3 linked regions of the Oryzias latipes genome follow. The protein of the gene in region 1 binds, or shares a complex with, the protein of each later gene. Links are inferred from orthologs where the notes say so. Each region holds a gene or a part of one and is shown in the gene's direction. Other genes may lie near its edges. The genes, in order: lrrc23, DPY30 domain-containing protein 1 and ropporin-1-like protein.

Evidence for each region.
Region 2: lrrc23 (region 1) and DPY30 domain-containing protein 1 share a complex: the UniProt entries of both Homo sapiens proteins name them as parts of the axonemal radial spoke complex. The link is inferred for Oryzias latipes from reciprocal best matches to the Homo sapiens genes LRRC23 and DYDC1.
Region 3: lrrc23 (region 1) and ropporin-1-like protein share a complex: the UniProt entries of both Homo sapiens proteins name them as parts of the axonemal radial spoke complex. The link is inferred for Oryzias latipes from reciprocal best matches to the Homo sapiens genes LRRC23 and ROPN1L.

What each region holds. Positions count from the first base shown.
Region 1 is NC_019865.2:13,825,912-13,830,642, forward strand, and holds lrrc23 (leucine-rich repeat-containing protein 23), read left to right. Parts: upstream 1-1,668; 5' UTR 1,669-1,933; coding exon 1,934-2,008; intron 2,009-2,172; coding exon 2,173-2,282; intron 2,283-2,364; coding exon 2,365-2,485; intron 2,486-2,696; coding exon 2,697-2,838; intron 2,839-3,019; coding exon 3,020-3,150; intron 3,151-3,306; coding exon 3,307-3,443; intron 3,444-3,527; coding exon 3,528-3,732; intron 3,733-3,825; coding exon 3,826-3,858; 3' UTR 3,859-4,000; downstream 4,001-4,731. Other genes in the region: RNA-binding protein 10, read left to right, coding at 1-40, 184-375, 553-600, 694-737, 830-920; transketolase, read left to right, coding at 4,689-4,731. UniProt on the Homo sapiens protein: Essential for sperm motility and male fertility. Plays an important role in the proper assembly of the third radial spoke (RS3) head and the bridge structure between RS2 and RS3 in the sperm flagella.
Region 2 is NC_019877.2:16,026,146-16,030,969, reverse strand, and holds the start of DPY30 domain-containing protein 1, read left to right. Parts: upstream 1-1,772; 5' UTR 1,773-1,840; exon of another isoform or gene 1,841-1,900; intron 1,901-1,959; 5' UTR 1,960-1,983; coding exon 1,984-2,133; intron 2,134-2,709; coding exon 2,710-2,829; intron 2,830-4,588; coding exon 4,589-4,783; intron 4,784-4,824. UniProt on the Homo sapiens protein: Functions as part of axonemal radial spoke complexes that play an important part in the motility of sperm and cilia. Plays a crucial role during acrosome biogenesis.
Region 3 is NC_019878.2:13,557,599-13,562,196, reverse strand, and holds the start of ropporin-1-like protein, read left to right. Parts: upstream 1-1,490; 5' UTR 1,491-1,643; intron 1,644-1,903; 5' UTR 1,904-1,943; coding exon 1,944-2,074; intron 2,075-4,598. UniProt on the Homo sapiens protein: Functions as part of axonemal radial spoke complexes that play an important part in the motility of sperm and cilia. Important for male fertility.

The sequences.
Region 1 (4,731 bases):
GCCTCAAAGTTTTCTGGACCAACTGCGACAAAGCACAGAAGTAAGAGCAATGATGTAGAATATTTGCTAGTGTTTAATCATACTTTTTATAACGTCATTTTGTTTTTTACAGTTAAGAGATTCAATGTATTTGCTTTGCACTTCATCATCATCGTAAAGTCTTGATTTTGACTCTTTGTGTAGCAATCGCCTCCTCAACAGCACGGCCTGGTCCCAGCCTACAGCGCAGAAACTGACAGCGAAGAAGAAGGAGATAAAGAAGATAAGGAGGGAAAAATGACAGACTGGGTTAAACTTGCCTGTCTGCTATGTAGGAGGCAGTTTCCAAGCAAAGAGGCGCTCATAAGGCATCAGCAGCTCTCAGAACTGCATAAGGTACGTTTATTCCATTTTAATGCCAATAAAGATGTGAAACAAAAGATTTTAGACAGTCAACAAAAAGCGTTGGTCTGTTACACGTGTCTTCGTGTACTAAATGAGAAAAAGAAATTGACCAAAATCTTTATTTTCACGTTTGAACATTTTGTCCTGCGTCTGTATCTTTGTTTACAGCAAAATTTGGAGCAGAGAAAAAAACAATTGGATGCTGTAAGCAGAGAGGTTGGTCAGTTCATGTGCATGGATTGTACAACAATACATGCATTCAATATTGAGTGGTTTTATGCAGTTTCTACTTGTGTTTTGACATTGCAGAGACTTGAACCTCCAGATTCTAGGAAGCGAAAGTTTAACCCTCTGTAAGTCAGTGATGCTCAATACTTAATACAAATAATGTAACTTTTTTAAGGTGTGTTGCCTAATTTTTTATATCCTTTCCTTGTCTGTATAGTGAAGGCATCACCGGCATTAGTCTTGGAGCACGAATGTTGCAAGGAGGAGTGAAAAGAAGTCTTCTACTGCATAATACAGAAATAGAGTGACCTCTCACATGTAAATTTCCTGATCCAGAAAGGACAAGCTCACCTGCAAAACACTTCACTCTTCCCCATTACATAGACAGAGAAAAATATATTTTGGTCTGACGATACTAGAGTCTGAAGAACATAGCACCTCTTTGGACTGATCCTGTAGCAGTACATGTCAAGATATTGCACAAATTGCACCTTTTTGCTTGTTTTTTGTGTGATTTAGGATTTCCTCTTGCTTCAGTTTGTGTGAATTAAACATGTGAATTCAGAATCACTTACTTTCAGAAAAAGGAAAGTTCTACACAGGTCTAAATGTCATGAAATGAGAATTTTCAGTCACTGTACCATATAGTTTTATTTGTTTTTTAAGAATATGCTGTCATTTAATAAATGATGGGTCCCAGCATAAACTGTGTATATTTCAGAAGTTTTTACGGAAACACTTTTGTGTGTCTGTGTTGTTGTTTTTTTTTTTTTTTTTTTTTAATATGATCACTTACTTAATTGGTTGTGCAGAAAAAAAAACGTTCTTTTGCAGAAGTTGAGTATCTGCAAAAGTCGCTTTCTACAAACAATGTTTTCTTTTTTTGGTTACATATGAACATACTTTTTTTATTTCATATTTTTGGTAGTCGCAGTTGCTAAACTAACTTTTTAATTTCACTTACAAAAAATTAAATACTGCAAGTGTAAAATAGATTAAAAAAAATGTTACATTTTGACCAACGTCTACTTTTGTTTACTAGTATTTCACAATTTTTGTCATTAAGTTTGGCCCTACCCGAAGTTGGGGTTAGTTGTTGCTGTGGAGTTTCCATGGTAACGCTATTAGAATTTGGTATGTTCGGTGTAGCTCGTACCATCCATACCCAAATTAACCATAATCCTTGTTAAATATTATCGGAAAATAGAGCCTTTGAATTGCTCGTGTTTCCACTCATTTCCGCGTAAAACTGCACTATTGCTTATCGTCGTACCGAATGCTGGAAGCCTGTTGGCTAGCTTAAAGTCGGTTCAATCCCGCTATGGAGGAAGAAATTCTACTGTCGGACTTGGAAGATGAGGAGGAAACAACTAATGCGAAAGGAGAAGGCGATAAGGTACACAAAAATCCGTTAAAAAAAAAAAACACACATTGATTTTTACAGAAACTGAGGAAAAAAAAGTTCATTCGTAAACTACAGTAATGCATTGACAGCTACTGAAATGAATTTCAAAACTTCTGTTCATTAAAATAAAGCTTTTTTGTTTTGTTTTTTTAAAGGCTCAAGCACACACATTGACCAAAGACATAATAAAAGAGGGACTTTCATTATTGTGCAGGACAGTAGACAGACTTGGACATGCTTTTATTAAATTAAACCTCAATAACATGTAAGCAGACAAAACACATTTTAACTGGACTGACTAACCCAATCAGCTTCTAATGGATTTTTCTTTACTACCTACTTCACAGGAAATTAAATGATCTAGCTGCGATCAGCGGCTACATTCACATACGTTTATTGGATTTATCCAACAACAGCCTTACTGATCTTTCTCCTCTGGCCTCCCTAAAGCAGCTCCTGTGGCTGAAGGTAGCCTACTTTATTTAGATTTGTCTTGATCATTTCTGTGGCAGATTCATTCATTTGAAATGACATTAATTGCTGAATTGTTTCTAATTTCCTCTATGATTGAGAGGTAAAAGGATTTAGTGGTGAGCCTCTGGTTTTAAAATGGTCCTTCAAACAGCACCAATAGTTATAATGGGTTGTCTGTACATTCTTAATGATCGACAAACTGCAGGTTGACAAAAATGATGTGGCGAGCTTCCGAGGACAACCGTTTGCTGAGCTGATCTATCTGCAAAGGCTAAATATGGCAGCAAATCAGTTAAATGATGCCGATGGCCTGGTTGGGCCCGCCCTGGAGAGCCTCAATCTTACAGGTTATTGATTAATCTGTATTCCAAAATTTAAAATAATCTAATTTTTAAAATTATATATATATATATATATATTTTAAAATTATATTTACGATGTAAAATACTTTCTATCTCACATTTTTGGAAATATTAAACATTTAAAGCCTAGTATAGATTTTAAGTGACACAGTGACCTCTTTTTCAGGAAACAAAATTCAGTCGCTGCATTGTTTTCAAACTAGCTGCTTTGGAAATCTGCTTACTCTGGAGCTGAGAGGAAACCATTTGGAAACCACTGATGGCCTCAACCTTCCAAATCTGCAACGATTATATCTGGTACATAAAAGCTGTTATTTTATTAAAATGACTAATATCTGTGAAAGTTCTTATCACTAAAATTATGCTCTTCCAATACCGTACCACTATTCCTTACAACAATATATCAAAATATTGATTAGAATTGCTATTACCTTTTTTTCCCCTTTTTCATAGGCTGATAATGGGATCAAGCATCTTGAAGGTCTAGACAAGTTAGAGTCTCTCGCCATCCTTCATATTCGAGATAATAAATTAGAAACTCTAGAAGGCCTCAGTCCCAACATGAAGTGTCTTCAGTATCTAAATGTCAGGTATGTGTAAGAAGGTGAGAGACCCATTGTGGTACCTACAAAAATTCTAAGAGTTCATATTTTCTGTTTGTTTCCATCTTTTAGAGGCAATTTAATTGCAGAGGAAAAAGCTTTGCAAAGCATTGGCCTTGTGGCAAAAAGCCTGCAAGCATTGGTTCTTTCTGAGAACCCGCTGGTGGCAACAGCAGACTATCGCCCCAATGTGTTGACACTTTTACCGCAGCTGAAAAGACTCGACAAGGAGCCTGTGACACCTGCGGAGAGGGGTGACAATCAGATGAGAATCAGAGTAAATGCTTAATATTTTTGTGGTGTGATCAGATCACATATTCTGGCCTTTTTTTTTTTTTTTTTTAAAAAAAGGACATTTCTATCTTTTCAGGAACTCGAGGAAGAGGAAGTACCTGAGCCATAAGATTTCATAAGATCTTTGTGAGAGGAAGTGCTGGGCATAAAAAGCAGGTCTTTCAAGAGATGATGATCGTGATTGCACATCAAGTTTGATTTTAGAAAAGCTTTCTTTCCAAATTGTTACAATAAAAAAATTGCCTTGTGAAGTGTTTTTTTTTTTTTTTTGTCTTAACAAGAACAATCACATACACAACATGTAGTTGCAGGATTAAAGGTGGGGCTGGTTTATAATCCATGCATTGTCATACATTTTTCCCTGAGTAAGAATGAGAGGGCAAAATCTGACCGCACTTCCTAGTTGGCTGACGTCCACCTGCGACCTTAAAGGGACAGTAACATAAAAAAAACGTATGTGAAACATTATTAATGCATAACCTGCATGTTCTAATTAACTGTTTAATGGATGTCAGCTATATTATAATATATATGTTTAATTTGTTGCAGTTTTGACAGTTTTCAATAACATTTTCACGCTGCACCGTGATGCATTTGTGTACATATGGTATATCTGTCACCGGTCTTATTGTTATCTGTGGAATTTATTGAGATTTCCTAACATGAAATTTAACGATAAAACTTTAAATACGTCTTTGAAGATGAACAGTTAAGGAGTTAAGTAACAGCCTCTCAAATAAAGCGCGATTTGACGTAATAGGATTGCCTTTTTCTGCTCCCTCCCCTTCAGTCGTCCCCTCCCCTCCTCTCAGGCTCGCATTGGGGCAGCTAGCATCGGCGTGGAGTAGCACTGAACCCACGACACCCGAGACGCACTGCAGTTAAAACAACTCACATTAAATTCACTTTCATTAACGTCCCTTTCAAGTCCAAATAAACATGGCTAACTATCACAAGCCCGACGAGAAGACCCTGCAGGGGC
Region 2 (4,824 bases), on another chromosome or scaffold:
CTGCTCAGGGCCCAAATTCACACAAACACACCACAACCCAAACAGTGATTAAAAGAAAATACAAAACAGAAGAGGTGCAACTGAGCAGGACACCACTAATTTGTAGGCCGGAAATGGGGGGGGGGGGGAAATCCCCCTTACACAATACTACACATGGCACCCACCAGCTACCGTAAGGATAAAGGGAGGAGGCAGCCACCTCCAGCCAGGTCCAACCACCAAGAGACTAAAATGAGCAAACAGTTTAAAAAAATGGATAAGAGCAAGGGTGTCAAGCTTGATTTAAACATTAAAAACACTAAGCAAAACAGCAGTGGCAACTCTGCTGGAAAAAGAAAAATAAGTTAGTTCTCCCTGGGACAAATACATGTTTACAAACCCTTATGTTACCGCTCATGCCCCAGGGTCAGAACTCATGCCACCACCTGTTAATATAAATAGAATTTAAAATGTTGCAAACTCAAATGCTTAAAAAACTTTTGTAAAAGGACTCAAATGATTAAGCTTTAGCTTAAAAAAAAAAAAAAAAAAAAAAAAAAAAAAAAAAAAGCCCACATGTCAAGCTCACCCACCAAGGCCAAACCAGCATCTAGGTGGAACTCACAGCTGCTATTTATCAGCCTCATGAGCCAATCACAGCTCAACAGACAGGTGCTGGCCATGAATATTAACCTATGGAACACCACGAGGGACAAACTACCACCCACAGCCCTGTCTGTCATATAACGATAAAACAGGGATAAAGAGGGAGTTTCCAACTGAGGTCTGTTTCTAACAGTTTGTTTAAAACAAGGTTTTTTTTTATAATGAGACTGCCACTCTGTAAATAACAGAACCAAAAAAAAATCCAAACAATTGCAAAAATCCCAGTGCAAGAAATTGTAATGTAATATGGAGGGGAAAAAGATGAAAAATATATATAAGACATTCTAGACATGTATCTTTCTCAGTTATTATAAGTGGCAATTTCTCCCATTTTTCTACTTAAACATATTACCAAATGGCCCACTTTTTAAGGACAGAACAGTTTATCATAACAGTAGATAAAGCCATTGACTGTACAATAGGACATTATGTTTTAATATATCTATTATGCAGTCAGTAAGACTAACAGGGTCTGCGCCACCTAGTGGTAAAAATTTCGTAAAAATGCACAAATCACATTTTTCTTTGAGTGTGAATATAGAATCTTCCAACAATTTTATTTCTGCTTTTATTAAATAACTATGTAGTAGCATCTGCACCATTTAGATTAAGATAACTATTAGTTTTATGAATTCCTTTTTTAACATAGTCTTTTGAATTATTCCTCCCCCAATTTCTGACATTCTGTGACTGATGTCTCTTTCTGCTTCATAACACATTGAAGCAAAACTTGTAAAGATGCAAAAGAATTTTAATATTGTTTTATTGAGTTTAACTACTGGAAAGCAATTTAAAACACATCTCAAAATGATCACTTTCTCGTCAAAATATTTAATCTGTTTCACAAATACTATTTTGTGCGTCTGTGTATGGGTGTGTGTATGAATGACAATGAGGTTTTTTCACAAATATTTCTTTTTGTCTGTAGTTTTTTTTGGGGGTGTTATTAATATAATTGAGGATTATTATTATTATTATTATTATTATTATTATTATTATTATTATTATTATTATAAAAATCATCATCACCATCATCATATTTATAGTAGTAATAACAATGCCTGAAACAACCAATGGTTGCATTATAGAAATGACATCGAATACAAAGCGGAACTAAAAAACGGTTGGGAGACTTTAAACTGTGTGGGACCGTTACCACGGAGATGCAACCGTCCGCATAAAACAGTAAAATACGGTAATTTCCGTGTTAATTTTGGCTAATTTGTGCAGGTTTTATCCATAAAATCGCTTTCAGGTCATTTTTGTTCGTCATTATTGCCTTAATAGCTCCGAGCCTCCATATTTGCTCTGTAGATAAACAATCAGAAAACGTGTAGCATGATGGATTCGGAGTATCTTAATAAACATCTGGGGAAATGTTTGGCTGAAGGACTTGCTGAAGTGGTTGAACGGAAACCCGTGGACCCTATCCTTTATTTGGCCCACTGGCTGTACAAGTATAACTCAAATACGCTGTACGAGAAGAAGGTGAGTCGTTTTGTTGTTTTCACCAGCAGGGGGCACTAAAGGATGCAAACACAAAAGTTGTTGATTTACAGTGTTTTTAAGCATTACGTGGTTTACTTTTCCGTGTTTTCCATTTACAAAACGCTATAAAAACATAAAGTGATTGCATATATCATAATTTTTTTGAAACGTTGTCTTGCAAATGCAGTGCTGAATTAGAAACTATTAGAAAAGTGTGTAAACACACCAACCATAGTGTCATTTTTTTTTTAAAATGATGGATCTAGATTTTGCACTCCAGCTGCTTCTGATTATACCCATGTTGTTGCATGCCGTCAAACAGGTTTTAAGAGGATAACAGTGTTAGAGCACGTAAACTCATTATGCTGCAGGATGTAAAATAAGTAGGGCCTCAACAACAAAGACTCACCTTTTACCTTTAACACAGAAACTGTCTGTACCTCTACTGACACACAGCTGAGCCCTACTTAAAACAAAATGAAAGTTTAAACATTTTATGGTTTATATAAGATGTATACTTGTAAACTTTAGACTTGTAAGCTTAGATTTGTTCCTGTATCACCTTTGTATTTGCAGAAGAAGGCAAGTCTGGCTCTGCTGGATCAAGATCAGGAAAAAAGCAGCCAAGAAGCATCACATCAGGAAAATCTCACAGAAGAGGAGCAGATCAGTAATGCATCAAAAGGCACAGAGAAAGTACTTTCTCACTTTCTATTGCTAACTTAAAAGTATTTGATTTTAAACATCCTGAATGCATAGCTGACATTTTTAAAGACCTACTCTAACCATCTTTTGATCTATTTTCACAGAATTCCCAGTGGTCTTGTAATTCAAATTCAACTTTACTTGTGCACCACTTTTTCGACTACAAAGCCTCTCAAAGTGCTTTCCATAATAAAATAGATAATTGTAAGATAAAAAACAGTAGTTAAAATAGCAAACATAGTAAAAATAATAATGATAAAATAAAATTAACAACATTAAAACACATACAGACCCAAAACATACACATCCCACAGGTACAATCAAAATGAAGCGCATCAATTGCTGATAAAATTTATAAAATCTAATGAAAACATGTTGACAAGTAAAAACTACATAAAGGCTTTACTAAAAAAATGAGTTTTAATTTTTTTCTTAAAAACCTCCACAGTGGATGAAGCCCTCACCTGCCTGAGGAGACGTTCCACATGGAAGGCCCACAGTACTGAAATCAGGCCTCGTCGTGGGTTTTTGTTCTGACTTTTGGGACCACCAGCACACCTCCACCTGTGGATCTAGGAGGGTCATAAACTAAAAGTAAATCTAATAAAAAAATGAGGGGCCAACTCCATTTAAACTTTTAAAAACAAATGAAAAGAACTTTAGAATCAATCCTAAAGCTGACTGGGACCCAGTGGAAAGATTTCAAAATATTTCTTTATTTTTTTTCTTTAGCACTGCAATAGCCTGGTTTGTTTAGTCACAGGAACAATTCAAGCTGGCCATCTCACCATTTGCAGGAAACGTTCCCAGCTAGGTTAATTCACAGCTTTGCTGGGCTCAGGTGAACGTCGCGTCTGCGACTATGATTGTGCCGTATCAATCAATTATGAAGATTTTAGTCAAAAATCTAAAATCTGTGGTTTTCCGGGACATAGTTTCTACAGAGCAGTAGTAGTTCATCAGAAATATGCCTCTGATTCGTGGGTGGTTTGACCCCTTCCCCCCTTACCGGTACCAGTATTTTGAAACCCTCTCCCGTTAGCTTACAGCCCCTCACACCCACCTAACATGACTGGTGCAACAGAAATGGTGAGCAATACCGGAGCTGTTCAGATGTACAGTTTTGAACCACATGCCAGCTTGGACGAAGAAAACGCCGACGTACCTGGATACATAACAAATATGATCTTTTTCAAACTGCATTTTTTTGTTTGCTCCCAATTAACAACAATTTGAAAAAAGAGGTACTTAAAAATACAATTTAGAGCTTAACTTTCTTTTCATATTATGTCCGCCATCATGACATCTTTTGAATATCAGGCCATTGTTTTTAACAACATGTTAAAAACACAGTTTTCATCAGAGTGGGTCTTTAAAGGCCTAAAACTTTAACCCCCCTCTGAGGAGCCACAGATTAGCTCAGACACTAGAGACAGACGCTGAGACAGACAGCACTATTCAATAGTTAAGCATCAGGAGGCAAATGGGCAGCGCATGAGGGAGGCTGCTGATAAAATCGACTCCAGATGAGTCACGCACACTGCAGAGACAGAATTAAGGAATCTACTCCAGCGTTACAGGCAGGATCTGCACATTGATTCTTAAAAAATGCTGTATAATACAAGTTTGAAATACATTGCAGTCTGCTTTAATAAAACAAATGCTTTTAATAGTTCTTATGTTGAGCTAAAAGTCCTAAAACTCTTCAAAAAATGTGTTTTTTAAATGTAATTTCTTTACTTTTTCTTAGACTGATGATGTGGAAACTGAGAAACTTGAAGATGTCATCCGGTCCTCGTCAGTGCTCCAGAGTGAAGATGCTCAACCCGATGAGACAATTCACCATGAAAAAAAAGAGGAAGACATAACTGACCGCAACCATGAAGAAAAGGAGGAAGAGATGAGAGAAATCAAAGCAAGTCCATCTCCTATCGGTCTAGAAAAGGTAAGTATTTGTTGTTTTTCTCAAATATTTGGTACATCAAA
Region 3 (4,598 bases), on another chromosome or scaffold:
GGGGTCGGGAACCTAAGGCTCGCGAGCCATATATGGCTCTTTTGATGGTCACATGTGGCTCGCAGACAAATCTTTAATTCAAATTTTTTTTCTTCATTAGACCAGTCCTTCTCGTGCGCGATGCGATGGCAGAGGCGCGCAGTAGTAGCGGTGCTTAGAGAGACAAATCTGCGCCAGCACTAGTCTTCTTCCACTTTCGGCTTCTCCCATCAGGGGTCATGGTAAATTTGGCAATGTTTTACGCCGGATGCCCTTCCTGACGCAACCTTCTCAAACTGGGCTTGGAACCAGCAGAGGTAGAGAAGGGAACAGGGAGCAGCCCGGAGTCGAACTCGGGTTTCACGGATGGAAGGCGCCGCAAACCAGCATGAGCTAAACTGGCTCCTGCGCCAGCACTAGTATAAGTTTAAAATTGTCTATTAATTCACAGAGTTTGTACCACCCGGAAACCTGTGAATTGCCGTGCCTAAAACTGCGCGCTCCCGTCTCTGAGAAAGAGCGCGCAGTTGCGGGGACGGGATGTGTGAGGGAGAAAGCAGAGGGTGGGGCTGAGGTGTTGTGGGGACAGGCAGCAGGTGAATCGCGCAGGGATTGTAAATAGGTAAAACCCACTGCCTGTCACTCACTGCAGCGTGTGAGTGTGTGTTTGGCTCCAGGTCCGCATGTGAGCAGTCTGTCTCACATCTACAAAACATTCATACCAACCTAAGATCACGTTTAAAGTCTCAACGCCTGCATGAAGCAGAAACTCACCACGTAAACCAGACTAGACCATCAGCAAAACTACCACGAGAAATACTCATCATTTATTAGAAACAGCATAACAATGTTATTAAAAAGAATCCACAGACTTATTGTACTTTAAAAAGGTTGAAATTACATCAAATGCACACATTCACTTGTATTTTAGTTTTAAACATATTGTCGCGGACTGAGTTGGATGGCTGTTGGGCCGCGTTAAAAGTTCTGGAGTTCATTGACCGCATCAAGCAGAGAGCTGATTGGCTCTCAGTTCTGTCGCTCAGCCTGTTGTTAGGTAGTTTGGACCAATGGGGTTCAGCTATGGGCCGAATAAGGGAAAGGGGAGGGCTGCAGCGGGAGCAGGGGAATATAAAGTTGGGAGACGCGCTCTCGTCTCGTCTCGGCGGGAGAGATTCAGGAGTTGCTGAATTAATTGTTCGGCGTTTGTCGCGGTCTGCAGTAACCCGAATAAAGAACCTTAAAAGAGGTTAAGTCTCCGTGCCTCAGTGTGGGAAAGGGACACTACATTATTGTATGGCTCTTTCGAAATTACATTTCAAAATATGTGGCGTTTATGGCTCTCTTGGCCAAAAAGGTTCCCGACCCCTGGTCTAGTGGGTCTAGATGACCCAACTCCCAATGGTAAAGTGCCTAGGATAGCACAAGGGTCAATGACATTCTGTAGTAACATTTCTAAAACAGCAGGGGGCGATATGCACATGCGGCTCCATTGACCTCAGCGACAGAAGAAGAATTCTGTTGCCATGCGACGGTAATATACAACTGTCAGTTTACGGACACGAATTGTGGCGTAAATCAGAAGGACAGCAATTACGATTTTTTGGTGAACATTTTAAGGCATTTTTTGCTTATTACTATTTACAGTCTACATATTTTTCCAGGTAACGTAATATGATTGTTTTTCTCAGCACTATAAATAATTATCACTTAATTTAAACGTATGTGTGATGCACGCACATGCTAAATGTTGCAAAGATGTCGTGACGTAGTCAGTAAGGGATTTCTGCATTTTGTTAACACTTCAATTATTGTTTGTTTAATGCAATGTTTTTATTTGGAAGGGAAATAAATGGGTTATTCATACCAAACTACTAAACTAACTAAAAATTACTAATACAATTAATTTCTTATTTTTGTTTAGTACTTGCTGGCCGACAAACTACAGTGCACGTATTTCAGCCATGCCCCTTCCAGACACACTGTACTGTGCCGAGCAGATCAACATTCCACCAGAACTACCAGATATCCTCAAAAATTTCGCCAAAGCAGCCATCCGAACGCAGCCCATGGACTTGCTTGCCTGGAGTGCAGCGTGAGTTTCTTCTTCTTTCTCTTTCGGCTTTTCCCATCAGGGGTCGCCACAGCGAATCATCCTTTTCCACCTCACTCTATCATGGACATCTTCTACCCTAACATTAGCCAACTTCATGTCCTCTGTTAAGACATCCATGTATCTCCTCTTTGGCCGTCCTCTCGCCCTCCTGCCAGGCAGCTCCATCTCCAACATCCTTCTACCAATATATCCACTATCCCTCCTCTGAACATGTCCAAACCATCTCAGTCTGGCTTCTCTGACTTTGTCCCTAACACAGACAACATGAGCCGTCCCTCTGATGTACTCGTTCCTTATCCTGTCTAACCTGGTCACTCCTAAGGAGAACCTCAACATCTTCATCTCCGCTACCTCCATCTCAGCCTCTTGTCTCTGTCTCACTGCTACCGTCTCTAACCCATAGAGCAGAGCTGGTCTCACCACTGTCTTGTACACCTTTCCTTTGAGTCTTGCTGACACTCTTCTGTCACACAACACTCCTGACACTTTCCTCCACCCGCTCCAACCTGCCTGCACTCGCCTCTTCACCTCTTTTCCACACTCCCCATCACACTGAACTGTTGACCCCAAATACTTAAACTCCTGCACCTTCTTCACCTCATCCCCCTGTAACCTAACGCTTCTACCTTGATCCCTCTCGTTCAGACACATGTATTCTGTCTTACTACGACTGACCTTCATGCCTCTTCTTTCCAGAGCAAACCTCCACCTCTCTAGCTGTTCCTCCACCTGCTCTCTACTCTAACTGCAAATTACAATGTCATCCGCAAACATCATTGTCCAGGGAGATTCCTGTCTTACCTCGTCTGTCAGCCTGTCCATCAGCATAGCAAACAAAAAAGGACTCAAAGCTGATCCTTGGTGTAGTCCCACCTCCACCTTGAACTCCTCTGTCTGACCTACAGCACATCTCACCACCGTCATACTTCTCTCATACATGTCCTGAACTACTCTGACATACTTCTCTGCCACTCCAGACGACCTCATACAGTACCACAGCTCCTCCCTCGGCACCCTGTCATACGCCTTCTCTAAATCTACGAACACACAATGCAGCTCCTTCTGACCTTCTCTGTACTTTTCCATCAACATTCTCAAAGCAAAAATGGCATCAGTGGTGCTCTTACGGGGCATGAAACCATACTGCTGCTCACAAATCTCCACCTTCTTCCTAAGCCTGGCTTCCACTACTCTTTCCCACAGCTTCATTGTGTGGCTCATCAACTTTATTCCTCTATAGTTGCTGCAGTTCTGCGTGTCACCCTTGTTCTTAAAGATCGGAACCAGAACGCTTCTCCTCCATTCCTCAGGCATCTTCTCACTCTCTAAAATCCTATTGAACAACCTTGTTAGAAATCCCACTGCTGTCTCTCCTAGGCACTTCCATACCTCCACAGGTACGTCATCAGGACCAACGGCCTTTCCGCTCTTCATCCTTTTCAGAGCCTTCCTAACCTCATCCTTTTCAATCTCTGCTACTTCCTGCTCCACAACAACCACATCTTCCTCCCTTCTTTCCCTGTCATTTTCCACGTTCATCAGCTCCTCAAAATACTCCTTCCATCTTTTTTGTACACTCTCCTGAGTTGTTAGCACCTTTCCATCTCTGTCCTTAATCACCCTTATCTGTTGCACGTCCTTCCCATCTCTGTCTCTCTGTCTGGCTAGCCTGTACAAGTCCTTCTCTCCTTCCTTTGTGTCTAACCTGTCATATAGCTCATCGTAAGCCTTCTGTTTGGCCTTTGCCACCTCTCTCTTCACTCTACGCTGCGCTTCCTTGTACTCCTGTCTACCTTCCTCAGTCCTTTCTACATCCCACTTCCTTTTAGCCAACCTCTTCCTCTGGACGCATTCCTGTACTTCCTCATTCCACCACCAAGTCTCTTTACCGTCTTTCCTCTTTCCAGATGACACACCTAGCACCTTCCTACCTGTTTCCCTGATAATTTCTGCTGTAGTTTCCCAGTCATCTGGAAGCTCATCCTGACCACCCAGGACCTGTCTCAACTTCTGCCTAAATTCCTCACAAGTTTCTTCATTCTGTAGCTTCCACCACTTGGTCTTCTTTTCTGTTTTCCCTCTCTTCTTCTTCCTGACCTCCAGAGTCATTTTACACACCACCATGCGGTGCTGTCTGGCTACACTCTCTCCTACCACCACTTTGCAGTCGTTAACCTCTCTCAAATGACCTCGTCTACATAGGATGTAGTCCACCTGAGTACTCCTACCTCCACTTCTGTATGTCACTCTATGTTCCTCTCTCTTCTGGAAGTAAGTGTTGACTACAGCCATTTCCATCCTCTTCGCAAAGTCCACCACCATCTGTCCCTCCAGATTCCTTTCCTTCACACCAAACCTGCCCATCACCTCCTCATCACCTCTGTTGCCCTCACCAACATGTCCATTAAAGTCTGCTCCAATAACAACTCTCTCTCCTCTGGGGATACTCTCTATGACCTCATCCAACTCACTCCAGAATCTCTCCTTCACTTCTAACTCACAG